Linked DNA regions of Astyanax mexicanus. The protein of the gene in region 2 interacts with the protein of the main gene of each other region in a pairwise test. Links are inferred from orthologs where the notes say so. Each region holds a gene or a part of one and is shown on either strand. Other genes may lie near its edges.

Region 1 (7,302 bases), on a different chromosome or scaffold from region 2:
TGGACTGGCATCACTCTGGTTTGCGAACCTAAATTTGAACTGGTTCGACATGTTTCCACCAACAAAAGTAGGTTCCAGAACCAGGAATGTTCGTTCGTAATGAGAACCAAAAAAATACTGGGTCCTTCAGTGCAAACCATGTTCACTGCCACTGTGCAGCACCCGCTGTTGATGTCGTATAATTAGCTGATTTGAGAGTTCCCACTAAAGCTGTTGGAAACATGGTCTGGTTCACTGAAAAGCACCGTGAGGAACCAGAGGTTATTTGACAGAAAAGAGCCAAATGTGTACACGTAATTAACATATATTTTTGTTGGATAGACTCATTCAGGTTAGTAAAGCTCAGTAATTTATCCCGTCTTACTCTTTTAGGACCCTACAGGTAAGTTTGAGCAGTGCTAAACAAAAACAGGTAAGTATATACAATTGTCTGTGTCACTAACGTGTCAGGGGTACCTTACATCATTACCAACACAGACAGCAATGCTGATAAAGGATACTGTATTCATGAAGAATGAGCTGAACAAGCTTCTCTGAACAGTATGTGAGAGGAAGTGTTGAATTGAAGGAGAGGCCACCTCCTTTCTTAGGCTGAAATGAGAAGAGAATATTTTGTAAGACTTTTGTAAGAACACAGTTCAAGGTCCAAATCAGAGGATATGTATCATGCAAACTGTTAAATGTTAAACACCTTAAGTACTCCTGAATGCAGGAAGGTAAAGAATGTAAAAAGTACCTTGAAATAAATGTTTGGTTTGCACCGGTTGAGTCTGATGCCAACAGATTCAAGCTCTTTTTCAAGAAGTTCCCTGAAAGATTAAAAAATAAATCATAGGACACTTTATCTTTTTTATTCACTATGAGGGTTCCTATGAGGAAGAAATAGCCAGATAGAAATATTATAGACAATACTCAATAAAGGGTGCACAATATTTTGGTGGTGTGGCGCAGTGGAGAACACCACTACCTGCTAGTGAGCTACCACATCTGGGGTTCAATTTCTGGTCTGGATGACTAAATGCTGCACTACACCAATAAGTGTCCTTGGGCAACTTTTGTAATAAAAATAACCTTGTAAATAACCTGGATAAAAGTGTCAGCTAAATGCTGTAAATGTATTTTTTTTTATTCCCCAACTATTGCTGCTGCTGCCAATTTCATTTTTTCATTATTTTTAGTTAATTTGATAGGAGCTTCCTGTTTCTGAATATGTCTAAGATTTTATTCATCCCTGAGGGCAAATTTGCAAAAAAATATATCTGTTTCTGTATATTCAGTACATTTTCTGTTTTATTTATAATATTATATTGTATATCTAAATGTATATCAGTCCTACCCTGTTCTAACTACCTGAAGCTCACCACAAGCATTTTAACTGCACATGGGCTAGTCTCATAAATGTTTATTTAAAAAACTTGTCCACGTTATGTACCATAACTGCACAATATTAAAGACATCTGCATACCAAGTGTAATCACATGTGGCAAGTCACAATCCATGACCAAGTCTCAACGAGGCATATTACTCACCTTTGAACCTCTCCTTTGGTTGCATCCAGCATCATGATAACCACATCTGCAGTTCTGGCTACAGCTATGACCTGTCTACCTCTGCCCTTTCCTGTATGGAAAACAACATTAACTTATTAGAATCAAGAAAACAAGTGCAAACAAAAATGTCAACATCCACTAACATCCAAAAACCACACACCTTGAGCAGCTCCTTCAATAATTCCAGGCAAATCCAGCAGCTGTATATTGGCACCTTTGTACTGAAAGAAAGAGAGCATGATGAAACATTTAAATAATTTAAAATCTCCAGAAATATAAAAATTCAAATTGACAGGTACCTCAATGACACCTGGAATGCAAGTCAATGTAGTGAACTCATATGAAGCAGCTTCACTTTCTGTCGATGTCATCAAGCTAAGAAAGGTAGACTGCAAAAGAATTGATTGTTAATGCAAAATAACAAACTGTATAACTGGTAATTAACACACATACACAAATAGATACTCTGATTACCTTGCCAACTGATGGAAACCCGATTAGAGCCACCCTGGCATCTCCTGATTTCATAACATCAAAACCTTCACCTTTGGCTCCTGCTGATTTTGAAGGCTCCAAAAGTTGTGCTCTGTACTTGGCTAGCTTGGCTTTTAGCAGACCTAGATGGTACTCCGTAGCTGCAAACATGTTTAACACAGATAAGGACATACTTTTTTTTCACTACACCCCACATCCATTTCACACCGTTTTTCTCCTTTAAAATAAAGTGAACTTTGTAGTTGAGACTGATTAAGGGTATTATTCCTATTCCTAAATAAACAAAACAGTCTTACACTTCAATCAATCAATCAACCTTTATTTTGCCTCGGAAGTACATTTAGGGCAACCCTCATCTTTTAATAAAGCTAAGCATTTACAAAAACAGGGATTGGCATGACAATTAATAACTACATTTAATAATATTAGATTAAAATAAAATAAAATAACAATAACATTAAATAAACGAAAAATAGATAAAATAATACAATAAAATAATAATTAATGGTTTAATTGATAAGAAATTAAGATCAAATTATAATGCTTAGTAAGACAAACACCTTGAAATTAGATATTTTCGCTTATTAAGATTTTGGGTTTTCGAGGCGGTGCAAAATCACCTTCCACAAAGATCCAACAGCTGGCTGTAGCTGTACAGGTATACAGAAGTGCCAAATCCAAATCCATGAAGTCAAAACCCACCCCAGTATTTTGTGGCAGCTGTCAGTGTGATTTAGCTTTAGAATAGATCCACATTCATGCTGCCGGACTGTACAAAACAGTGGTGTGGATTTGTACTTTCGGGACCTGGATTTAGCACCTTCTAACGTGGCAGTCTGGGCTGGCCGGCTAGCTAAGCTACCTTTGTTTTTCTGTGTCCGAGAGATTTCTCTCTCAATCTCGGCTATCTTCTCCAGAATCCCCATGCTGAGGGAGGGGTGAGGTCCTCAGGACGGTGAAGAGACCTGTGAGAGGAGCAGCTGAACAGAAACACAGACAGACAGACCGCTAGATTAGATTAGCTAGGGTAGCTAATAGAAGCAACTAGTAACTGTAGATAGATAACTAGCAAACTTATCGAGCAGTTTTACAGAAAAGCCGCTAAACGATGGCATTTCCGGCTTCGACATGCACATGAAAATTAAGATATAGGTGTTTATTTGTGGGTACTTTAGAATTTAACACTCACGTATAGAAATAAGAGCTGTAAAAGTTGGGAGAAACCGAACTCACTCTCTAGCAGCACCGGAGAGCACGCGGTGTCGCTCTGTAAGCTGTCCGCTGAAAACACGGCTTTGCGGACTGATCGTTCCGCCTGAACACGGACTAATGCTAGCTAAGTTAGCTAGCCAGTTTAGTTATTCTAGAATTTGAAATAGTATCTAAACTGTTATAAATCCGAATTTAATTGCAAGATGAGACGTTTTCTGATGTTTCTAAACTGACCAAACGAGTCTTGCCCTCTTCCATGGTACGAAACGTAGCTTTAAATCTAGCTAAGCAAACATTAGGTTAGCTAACAGCTAGCTATCTTACGTTAGCTAAGTAAGCTAACTAACAGCCGTCATGGCAGCTCCGTCAGGGTCGCGGTACGGGGACAGTGACAGTAACAGTAACAGCACTGGTATGGAGGGCTTCCCCTTCCCTCCACCTGTCAAACCGCCTGGAGAAAGTTCAGAAAAAGAACAGGGCGTGAAAAAGAAGCCGTGTCGAGCGTGTACAGATTTTAAGTCATGGATGAAAGTTCAGAAGAAGCAGGCTGCCCCAGGTAACCCAGCACAGGTGAGTGACTGACTGGACAGTGTGGTGAAGTTTCCTGAAAAATAAGAGTATCATTGAAAAGTTACTTTATTTCTGTAAATCAGTTCAAAATGTGAAACAGTGAAAACCCAAAAATCAGTGTCTCAGAAATATAGAATATAATTTAAGACCAATTGGTATTTTTGGCAGTGTGGACAGTGTGCCAAGTCCTGCTGGAAAATGAAATCCGCATCTTCATAAAAGTTGTCAGCAGAGGGAAGCATGAAGTGCTGTAGGATTTTCCGGGAAAACACTGCTCTAACTTAGAACTTTGGGTATAACACAGTGGACCAACACCAGCAGATGACATGTCTCTCCAAACCATCACTGATTGTAGAAACTTCACACTAGACCCAAGCAGTTTGGACTGTGTGTCTCGCCACTCTTCCTCCAGACTCTGGTCCCTTGATTTTCCAAATGAAATGTAAAATTTACTGATGATCAGTGATGGTTTGAAAAACCCTGTCATCTAGGGGTGTTGATCAAGTGTGTAATATCAAGCCCAAAATCATTGCAGTGTTTTCCCATAAAATCTTACAGCACCTTATGCTTCCCCCTGCTGATTTCATTTTCCAGCAAGACTTATCACACTGCCCACACTGACAAAATCTTATGTAGTATTAAGCCATAATCATCAACAATAAAAGAAATAAACACTTAAAATAAATCCCTCTGTGTGTAAAACATTTATATAATATATTAGTTTCATATTTTAAACTGAATTACTGAAATAAAGCAACTTTTTAATGTCATTTTTTGAGATGCACTAGTATGTATCTTCTAAACATACAGGTATGAGTTGTCTTTTCACAGCAAGTTATGTTTGTTTAAAATAATTACATATTCTGCATAGAGTTCTGATCTCTTCTTTAAAGAAAACTTGTTTTTAGTATTGCTCAAACTGATTTCATACTTTTAAAAGTACCTGGCAACCTGGCTATTTAGCAATTGTGCACACAGGTTAAAATCAATAAGGTGAAATTCCACATGGTATTTGAAGATCTCATTCATGTCAGCCCCAGACAAATTTACAATTATTGTTATCATTCATACATACTTGCCACCATCCTGCACTAAAAACATTTATTTTCTTTTTACTGGTTAATTTGACAGTTGTCTTAATGACGAAAGTGTCATCTGTCCACCAATAGAAATGCTTAAAAGTGGCTTGGAATAAAATATTTGAACATTAGCTTCCTATAAAAGTTACGATATTTTTTATGTACAAGGTTATTTCATGATGATAATATACAGGCTAATACAGAAAGCCAATACTCTATAATCCTTTTAGTATGGTCAAGAGATGCTGCTGACTCGATTTGATGCTATGAATCGTTTCCTTATTAAAAGAAACAAACAAAACAGTTTACAGTTTACCAATTTACTCTGTGGGCCAATAAATGTAGAAAATACCATCTTGGCTAAACTAGAAATTTTGCTTTTAGGAGACTCAGGTGGCTGAGGAGAAGCTGGTGGAGTGTCCCCTGGACAGGGAGGAGCTCGGGAGGAGTTCATGGTCTTTACTCCACACTATGGCTGCCTACTACCCTGATACTCCCAGCACATCCCAGCAACAAGAGATGAGCCAGTTTATCAACCTGTTCTCAAAGTTCTTCCCATGTGACGAATGCGCTGAGGACCTGAGAACAAGGTGGGATATACACAGTATTTAATATATTAGCAGGATTGATCTAGCTGTCTGCAGACATGCACTCTATGTCAAAATGTTTGTGGACCCCCCCTTTTAATAAATTCATTGCTGACGTAGATGTGCACATATATAGAAATAGCTTGTTTAATTTCTATGGAGAAGTATTTGATTGTGTTCAGTGACAAAAGCCTTACTGAGGTCAGGACTTCACTAAGGCTTTTGTCCCCTCACAACAATGCTCCAAAATCTAGAAGAAAGCCTTCTCTGCACAGTGCAGACAGTTACTCCAGCATAAGCAAGATAAACTCTTTTTTTTAGAACAAAGAATGAGCAGGTGTCACAATACTTTTGTCCATATAGTGTTTTGTCTGCCAAATTTATTTGACTCTTATCTCTCACGAAGTATCAAGCTTATTCAGACAATTAAAATATATATATATCCAGCATATATACATATACTGCCTGAAGAGTTATTACTGGGGTTGGATGCTTTATTTTTAGTTTTAATTGTTGTTTTCCCACTGTGCTTTTGGCTGTATGTTCACTTGAGCATCTGTCCCCTTTTTGACTCATCGTTTCTATCTGTTGCCAGATTGAAAACAAACCAGCCAGACACCAGCAGCCGCCACAACCTCTCACAATGGATGTGTCGTCTCCATAATGGCATCAACATCCGATTAGGCAAGCCAGAGTTTGACTGCAGCAGAGTGGACGAGCGGTGGAGAGATGGCTGGAAAGATGGCTCTTGTGATTGACACTGACATGCCCTCCACAGCTGATTCACTGGAAAACACAAAACAGAACCATCAGCTGCTTTGAACTTTTTGCCTTGGGCTATAATAACTGTTGTTGGAAGCGGCTATTGTGTCTCATATACCTGATATGTTGTACATGATGTTATACATATTGCTGCTGTACACAGGCTTGTTGACTACTAAGACCAACATGAAATTTAAACAAAATAATCAGCTATTATGACTTTCTTTACAACCAGCTTGGTCAAGAACTGGTTTACCAAAATATAAGTATTTTGTAGCTTGGATGACCAGATTTCAACCACATTGACCATCTAAAACATGGCAGACCTTTTGATTGCAGCTCAATATTTGACAGTTGTCCCAATTTGACCCGTTTCCTCCAACATAACATTTATAATGCTATTCTTTTGTCGTTTTTCACTTTTTAATGTGAATATGGAAGTGGTTCTTAACATTAAATCTAAACCTCATTTAGAAATGAAATGTTGAAATGTTCCAAAGTTGGAATAGCTTTGTATCTTGACTTTCACTGAAAGTTAAGGAAGTTTTTTTTCTCCTGTAAACAAAACGTTTTGGAGATACCAAATTTTTGTGTCAGCAACAATATGTACAACTTTGGCCCACTATAGTTATGATTATATTTTTAGTGATGTGCTCATATTTGTAATTCTGAGTCTATTTGCTTGTAAAGATAATGAATCATATAGAACTGTTATTTTTATTGTCCATGTCCTCAAAATGGCATTGATGAGAATAAGCCTTGTCACAGTGTTATTGTGGTCTGTCACATTCAACAATCTGCAATAAAGGAAGTGATATATCAGGTATAATGTATGGTGTAACAGTTTGTTCAACCAATGTTTCTTAAAATCAGAAATATTAGCAGTGGTGGACTGTTTTAAGGGCACCTTCTGCACAACACAGAGCTTTACCCGCAGGCAAACATATATGATAGGTCACTACATGTCATTTCTCCAGTAGAGGGTCTTTTCTTTTTCAATCATGTACTTATGCTTTTACAGCACCTCTCCGTCATTGCAGACACAAT
Region 2 (7,335 bases):
ATCCTCTAATAGTGCCCATCACTACAGCCCACCTGAATCTTAAAAACTCAGAGGTGTCAAGTAATGAAGTACAAATACTTTGTTACCCCATCAAAATTGAAATGTTGGATATCTATTCTTTACTAAAGTAAATATTTTTCTGACACAGTTTTACTTCTACATTTTCACACAATTATCTGAATTTTCTACTTCTTACATTTTAAAACTAGCCTTGTTACTCCTATTTAATTTTAGCTTGTTTTAATTGCATCTTATAAAAAACCCTATCCAGATAAACCTCTTCATCCAGAAAGAGTAAATCTGACTGTGGTGGGATGAGAAGTATAAACATATACCATTCCAACACCCTATTGATTTATACAATCACACCTGCACACGTCACGCCCACACTCCAGCAAGAACATAGCAGACATACAAGGGTTGGACAATGACACTGAAACACCTGGTTTTAGACCACAATAATTTATTGTCTCGACGGACAGTTCTGGTGGAAACAGGAGAGTTGAGGTGCACATTGAATTCTGTCGTGATTTGAGCAGCCGTGGTTTTTTGGATAAAATCCGGGTTAGCACCCGAACATCCCTTTCAGACAGCTTTCTCTTACAGCGTCCACAGTTAATCCTCTTGGATGTGGTTGGTCCTTCTTGGTAGTATGCTGACATTACCCTGGATACCGTGGCTCTTGATACATCACAAAGACTTGCTGTCTTGGTCACAGATGCGCCAGCAAGACGTGCACCGACAATGTGTCCTTTTTTTAACTCTGGTAGGTCACCCATAACGTTGTGTGCATTGCAATATTTTGAGCAACACTGTGCTCTTACCCTGATAATTGAATCTTCACACTCTGCTCTTACTGGTGTAATGTGCAATTAATGAAGATTGGCCAACAAGCTGCTCCAATTTAGCCATGAAACCTCCCACACTAAAATGACAGGTGTTTCAGTTTCATTGTCCAACCCCTGTATGTAATCTAGTATGAAGAAAATCTGTACAGAGACTTACGAGAACTTAAGCGAAATGTCCTAAGGTACATTACTTTTACTTTTATACTTCAATTAGTTTTGAAAGCAGTACTTTTACACTTTTATTTGAATAAGAAGCGAGTAGAGTTGATACTTCAACTTCAACAGATACTTCAACAGAAGTATTTTTAACCTTAGAATCTTTACTTCTACCTGAGTAATTAATGTGAATACTTTTGACACCTTTGCAGGTGGGTCCCAACTAGGCCACATATGCAGTGTACAGATCAGATGGGGCCTGCCTGGTCCCCTCACTGACATCCACATGAGGGGCCAACATTACATCTGGGGGCCAAACGTTTTGCTACCCACACAAGCTCCACATGGGCATGTTGTCTGGGTACTTGTGTTTTAGCTAACCTAGCCAGCTACTTAGCTACCTAACTAACTAAATAACTAACGTTGCTGACAAGCTAATTCACCATTCCACCTTAAATGGTACAGCGATTCATATAGCTGCTGCTACTTTTAAGGTGTAACGTAAATTCCAATAACTTTGTCATGGGAATTTTGTTAAGGCTCCACGCAGCCTTCATAGAAACACCATGCTCACATTCACAACCTTTTAAACCCCACTTTACTCTTATATAACCACACATTACACCTAGCTTAACTGGCTAGCGTTATGTAGGTTCGTTAACTAAGGTACAACATGTCAGCTTACCGAGCTAAGTTACTTAGCTAGCTAACAAGTTACTTTACGTTAGCTGATAAGCTAATTCTCCGTTCCACCTTAAATAATATAGAAGCGGGGTATAACTGCTGGTCATTTTAAGGTGTAACGGAGAACTCTCATAGCCACATATTAAACTTAAGTCAGCTAATTCCCCGATCCACCTTAAATTATAAAGCAGTCGCGTTTGACTACTGTTCATTTTAAGAGAACTTTAATAAGAGAATTTTAATAGCTTTGTTAGTTATTGAATTCATACAAGCGCCCTGCTCACATTCATAGCATTTAAACCCTAATGTACTTCCAAACAGCCACCAATTAAACTAGCTACTTTACAGTTCCACCTTAAATGGTATAGCAATCGCGTATAACTACTGCTCATTTAAGGTGGAACAGAGAACTCCAATAACTTTGTTAGATAAAGCTCCACACAGCATAAACCATAATTTACTCTCATATAGCCACATATTAAACTTAACTAAGCCAGGTTAGCTAGCTTAAGCAACATAACTACGTTAGCCGACACAATAATACACGTCAACTGCTACAGCAGTGGCATAGAAATACAGTTATTTTTAAGGTGGAACGGATAATTTCAGTAACTTTGTTAGATTAAGCTCCACGCAGACCCTGCTCACATTTACAGCGTTTAAAAAACACATCTTACTCATATTAGACAACCAGGAATTACACTTAGTTTAGCTTAAATTAACTAAACTAAACTAGGCCAGGCTAGTTTAACCGAGCCGGGGTGTTCTGTCGAGTTGTGCTACCCTTCGATATGCGCTACTTAGCGGCTCTGCGCATGCGCAAAACTCACACTTTTACTGTTTTCATGTGCTTTTTCTATTTTTTCCTGCCAATTTAGTTTTATTTTTCCCGGGTGCACTGTACAATCTGGACTCACAGTCATCGCTTGCTTTAGTGTTACAACCGTGTAAAAAAAAAGTAATAAAAAATGTATATATAAATGTTTTTTACATTTTAAACCACCTAACGTTATATTATACATTTTTCCTGATACAGCGATTTAGGCTATTCAAATTTGATCATACCAACAACACAACTGCATGCAGCATGTTCTAATTATTTGTATTTTTACAGTTAAACATACACTAGGGTAGCACGATTTGACAGGGTAGCACAACTCGACAGAACACAGGGTTAGCTCTAGCCGCTGCTCTGAAGCTCCAGTAGGGAGAGTGGAGCAGCCAGCCGGGCTAACAGCTAGCTTACTAGGCTAACCCCACCACTGAGCCGCACCTGTAAACGAGTCTGGGTAAATGGACTCTATCGCCTCCAGCTCGTTCCGCTGCTCCTCTCCGTAGTCGGTCATTTTATTTCACTGCTGTCCATCAACAGCTCCGCTCCCACCGGCCCTCAGAAACGTGCCTGTCCGCTGAAGAGAGGCTGCACTCGATCTTCTCCACTATCGACTAGTAATGCCTGAAACTCTGACCGCGTCCCAATTCACACGGGTATAGGTGCACTGCTTTAGCAGTTAACGTCTGAAAGTTCAGTTCATACTAATTTAATGTAGCGCTTTTACTGACTAAAACCCGTTTAATATAGAAGAACTAAAGCAGGGGCGTCCGAACTGCGGCCCGTTTCCTTTTTGGAGCGGCCCGCGAGGTATTTTAGAAATAGAATGAAAGTTGGCCCGCTGTTTTTTATAATGTGAGATTCAAAGACGCTAGGTGTCAGAAACGAGCCAAAGAGTCTAAAAGCGGAGAGCGTGCGCATTTCTAGCGCAGAAAAAGTAAACATGTAAGATTTCTTTACTTGTTTTTTTTTTTTTTTAAGCAAAATAGTTTATTTTACGTTCCAAAATTAAAGGAATATCCAGGCTAAGTAGTTAGTTAGTTTTATTCGCCCCATTACTTCTGAGCTTTCTCGCGGGCTCCCTTTGGCGGTGTGCTGTAATTTACTGAGATATGAATTGGGCTCAGGCTTTATCTGCGCCTTCAGCAAAAAAAAAAAAAAAAAACGATTTTATCTATATCGACTACTAAGGTCTGTGACTAAGAACTGTGGCCGCGTCCCATTACAACATGTACAAATTTACATTTTAATACATATCACTATACAATTTAAAAGTTTTCTAGTTGGCTAGTTTACAAGCTGTAAGTTAGCACGCAGTCTAACCAGTTATAAATAAAAAAATCGTTTTAATTGTTTGATGATGCCACAGTGTAGAGATTGTATTGACGATACAATAAATAATACAATAAGCCATATAAGTAATATTAATTATACTAAACTATAATAACTATATCAAAGTAAAACGATCCTGAAATGTACTCTTAAAGTAAGCCACTACTCATTCTTAATGGGACGCGGCCACAGTAAGAGACATTACAAGTCGGTAAGAATACAGAACGCAGACACACTGCGCTCTAGCGAGGTCACTAGGTAAGTGTCCTAGTTATAGTGCATAAAGTGCTCAAACAGCTCTTGGCCGAGAATAATGTTGTTAAAAAGCGCTATCCGCTGATCGCATTAAAACAATTCAGGTAAAAAACACTTTAGTGCTATTTAGCAAATATATAAACACTACAACTACGAGTTGAAAAAAATAAGTTAGTAACGTACTGATTTTAAACAGTTTAAACAGTTTTAGAGGCACCTGGTAATTTCTTATGACTATGCATTATTAAAAGACCTTGCAAGTAACCAAAGTACACAGTAAAATTAATTGTTTAAATGGAATGCTACTTAAATCAGATTTTTTCTCCATAGTGCTGATTGGTTGGTGTTACTGCTATTGCATGCTGATTGGTTGGTGTTACTGCTATTGAGCACTGATTGTTGTATGTTTAGACTTACTGCTACTGAGTGCTGAGTACACTTAGATGACGCTTCTGTTACTCTGTCCTGATTGGTTGTTGTTCCTGCTAATGTACTGATTAGATGGCACTTCTTCTACTGAGTGCTGATTGGATGGCAGTGCTGCTTCTGAGTACTGAGTACCATTGTCATTACCGGTTTGCATTGCTGCTACTGAATGCTGATTGTCTGTCATTGCTGCTACTGCATGCTGATTGGTTTGCATTACTGCTACTGAGTGCTGATTAGTCTGAATTGTTGAGTCCTCATTCGATTGCATTGCTGCTACTGAGTGCTGATTGGTTTGCATTGCTGCTACTAAGTGCTGATTAGTTGTCATAGCCCCTATTGAGTGCTGATTGGTTTGCATTATTACTGCTACTGAGTGCTGATTAGTTTGCATTGCTATTACTGAGTGTTCATTAGTTGTCATTGCTGCTACTGAGTGCTGATTGGATGGCATTGCTGCTACTGAATGCTGATTGGGTGGCATTGCTGCTACTAAGTGTTGATTAGTTGTCATTGCATCCTTATTGGTTTGCATTACTACAACTACATACAAATGCGGATGCTAGTGGTGCAGTCCAAATGATTCAAATCTCAAACATTAATATGCAAGAGCATTTAGTTAACTTTAGCTACAGTTAGAATCTGCACACTCATGTTAGACTACTAATGTATGTTGTCTTTCTGCTGATGAAAACCACACTATCAAAGTCTGCATTTCCTTCCTTTATGTGGTCGTAAACCTACTCAGGGTTTCCTGTCTGTGCTCTGGCTGCACGATAGAAACCTGCGGCTAGCTGCTTCCCCTCCAGAGGCCGGAGTGCCAAAGATGAGCAACTTAGCGCTGCCCAGCAATACTTGGTGTTGTAGTATTGCTGTGAGGAGATAAGAAAGCATTGATCAGATCAGGTATGGAAGATTCTGAAGTTCTGCCATTCCAGCTGTTGTAGAAATGAATTTACAAGGTGTGTCCGCTACAACTCCCATGCGCGTTCGTTGAATAGAGAGTCAAAACAGATGGAGGTGAAGTTGAAAGCAAAACAAGTATTTATTACTGAATTCAGGAGAACATACAAACACGGTTACGACCGTCCAGCATACGTTCTGAACCTCTAATGATCTGACTCCATGTATATACCAAAAATGACGCGAAATCTGCCGATGAGGCGTTGCTAAAAATCATCCCATGTCAGCAGGCATGGTGTTACGTGTTAGAGCTCAAGATTCGCTAGTGTATGGCCTTGAGAATGAGTAGCCAGACAGCACGGCATTGTTCAGTAATTAGACAATGTTTCTCTCCCCGTGCGCATGCCCTCCTCAATTTGACAGGTGGAGGTCTTCACGCGCACGGAGAGAGAAAGACCGTATTGTCTGCCCAAAAGTCTCTGTATTAAGCGAGGTCATGCAGAATGCACTATCTGCTGATTTTGTAGCTGTTAGTGAGAAAAACATGCAATCACACAATGGGTTTCAGTGAGGTGTCAGTGGCGCGTGATTGTCCGCTATACAATTAGGTCTATACGTTTATGTATCATGTGGGTTAGTTTGTCAGCCTAAGGCCTGTGTTTAGTCACATGCTTGTTAAAAACAATGCTTCACTATTAGTTTTCTATATAAATGTGTAAAAAATATACTGTGAGTAATAAAATGATCAAATATAGTGTTAACATTGGTTAATGCATATAAAATAGTTATGAAATGATCAAATGTAGTGTGAGTATTGGTTAGTGCATATAAAATACAAGGTTTCACACGATGATTATGTAATTTTAGATACCAAGATAAGTAATCATGATTGTGAGATGTTTGTCAATATATTCAAGGTAAAACGAGGTTTCTTCGTAAGATTTCCCACAATTCCCCCTTTCGACGTATCAAACAGATACGTCGACAAACCGTAATTCCTCCAATCATGTATTTACATATGTTCAACCCTTGATCAACATGTGAGTGAACATTGTACTAAAATGTGAGAGCGAAAACCTGTCGCGGCAGCCTTCCAACCTATTTTGACAGGAAAAATTCTCTCACAGCCCCTCTGCCACCCAGGCGGCTAATGAGATGAACTCTATCAAAGGAGGAAGTGACATCATAACCTTAAAGTCATCCCCAGACTAGGTGATCTACAGCAGTTCCTCTTGCTCTTCCTCACATTCCAGTATAGGCCGATCCCAATTGACATGTGTCGACCTAATTACGTGTTCCCACTTGTTACAAGGTCTGGCTTTATAAGCTGCTTAATCGGTGTTATGGGTGATTCTCATGAAGCTGCATGCAACATGTCCATGACAATTTTTAAAATCAGTACTTAATTCACAAAAACTCTGATATTGTGTGTAAAGCAAATAGGTAGTACTGTATGGATCAATTGTTTTCATTATCATAGAAAATTATTTTTATATAAATTAATTAAAAAAAATATATATGGAAATTCTCATCACCGTTATGTGTCCGTACCCCTTCCTTCTAATTTCAAGTTAAACCATATTAAAAGTACTAAGCATATCGAATCAATAAAATAGATTAAAGTCATTTAAAATATCAACATTTATACATAATATAAATAATTTTGAACAAAAAATGTACTTGATTTTAAACAAAATAACTGTTTCCGAAGAATTTTTTCTCATTACCGTTATGGTTTAATACTCATTACTTTAAAAATATAAAAATAAATTATTTCATGAATATTATCACAATATAAGGCTTTTTACAGCTGGCAAAGTTATAGGTTGTTATCATATTAGCATTTTAAGTTATTTGTGAAATTAGCTAAGAGCATCTCAACTTGAAAAAATGCTGCAA

Evidence for each region.
Region 1: the proteins of rwdd1 (region 2) and drg2 interact in binary tests that used the Homo sapiens proteins (3 or more experiments, as listed by UniProt). The link is inferred for Astyanax mexicanus from reciprocal best matches to the Homo sapiens genes RWDD1 and DRG2.

The regions. Positions count from the first base shown.
Region 1 is NC_064410.1:54,129,327-54,136,628, forward strand, and holds the start of drg2 (developmentally-regulated GTP-binding protein 2), read right to left. Parts: upstream 3,026-7,302; 5' UTR 2,972-3,025; coding exon 2,908-2,971; intron 2,186-2,907; coding exon 2,025-2,185; intron 1,940-2,024; coding exon 1,850-1,939; intron 1,772-1,849; coding exon 1,711-1,771; intron 1,621-1,710; coding exon 1,530-1,620; intron 810-1,529; coding exon 737-809; intron 592-736; coding exon 501-591; intron 1-500. Other genes in the region: gfer (FAD-linked sulfhydryl oxidase ALR), read left to right, coding at 3,612-3,827, 5,291-5,496, 6,089-6,251. UniProt on the Homo sapiens protein: Catalyzes the conversion of GTP to GDP through hydrolysis of the gamma-phosphate bond in GTP. When hydroxylated at C-3 of 'Lys-21' by JMJD7, may bind to RNA and play a role in translation.
Region 2 is NC_064411.1:31,734,533-31,741,867, reverse strand, and holds the start of rwdd1 (RWD domain-containing protein 1), read right to left. Parts: upstream 3,137-7,335; 5' UTR 3,035-3,136; coding exon 2,962-3,034; intron 1-2,961. UniProt on the Homo sapiens protein: Protects DRG2 from proteolytic degradation.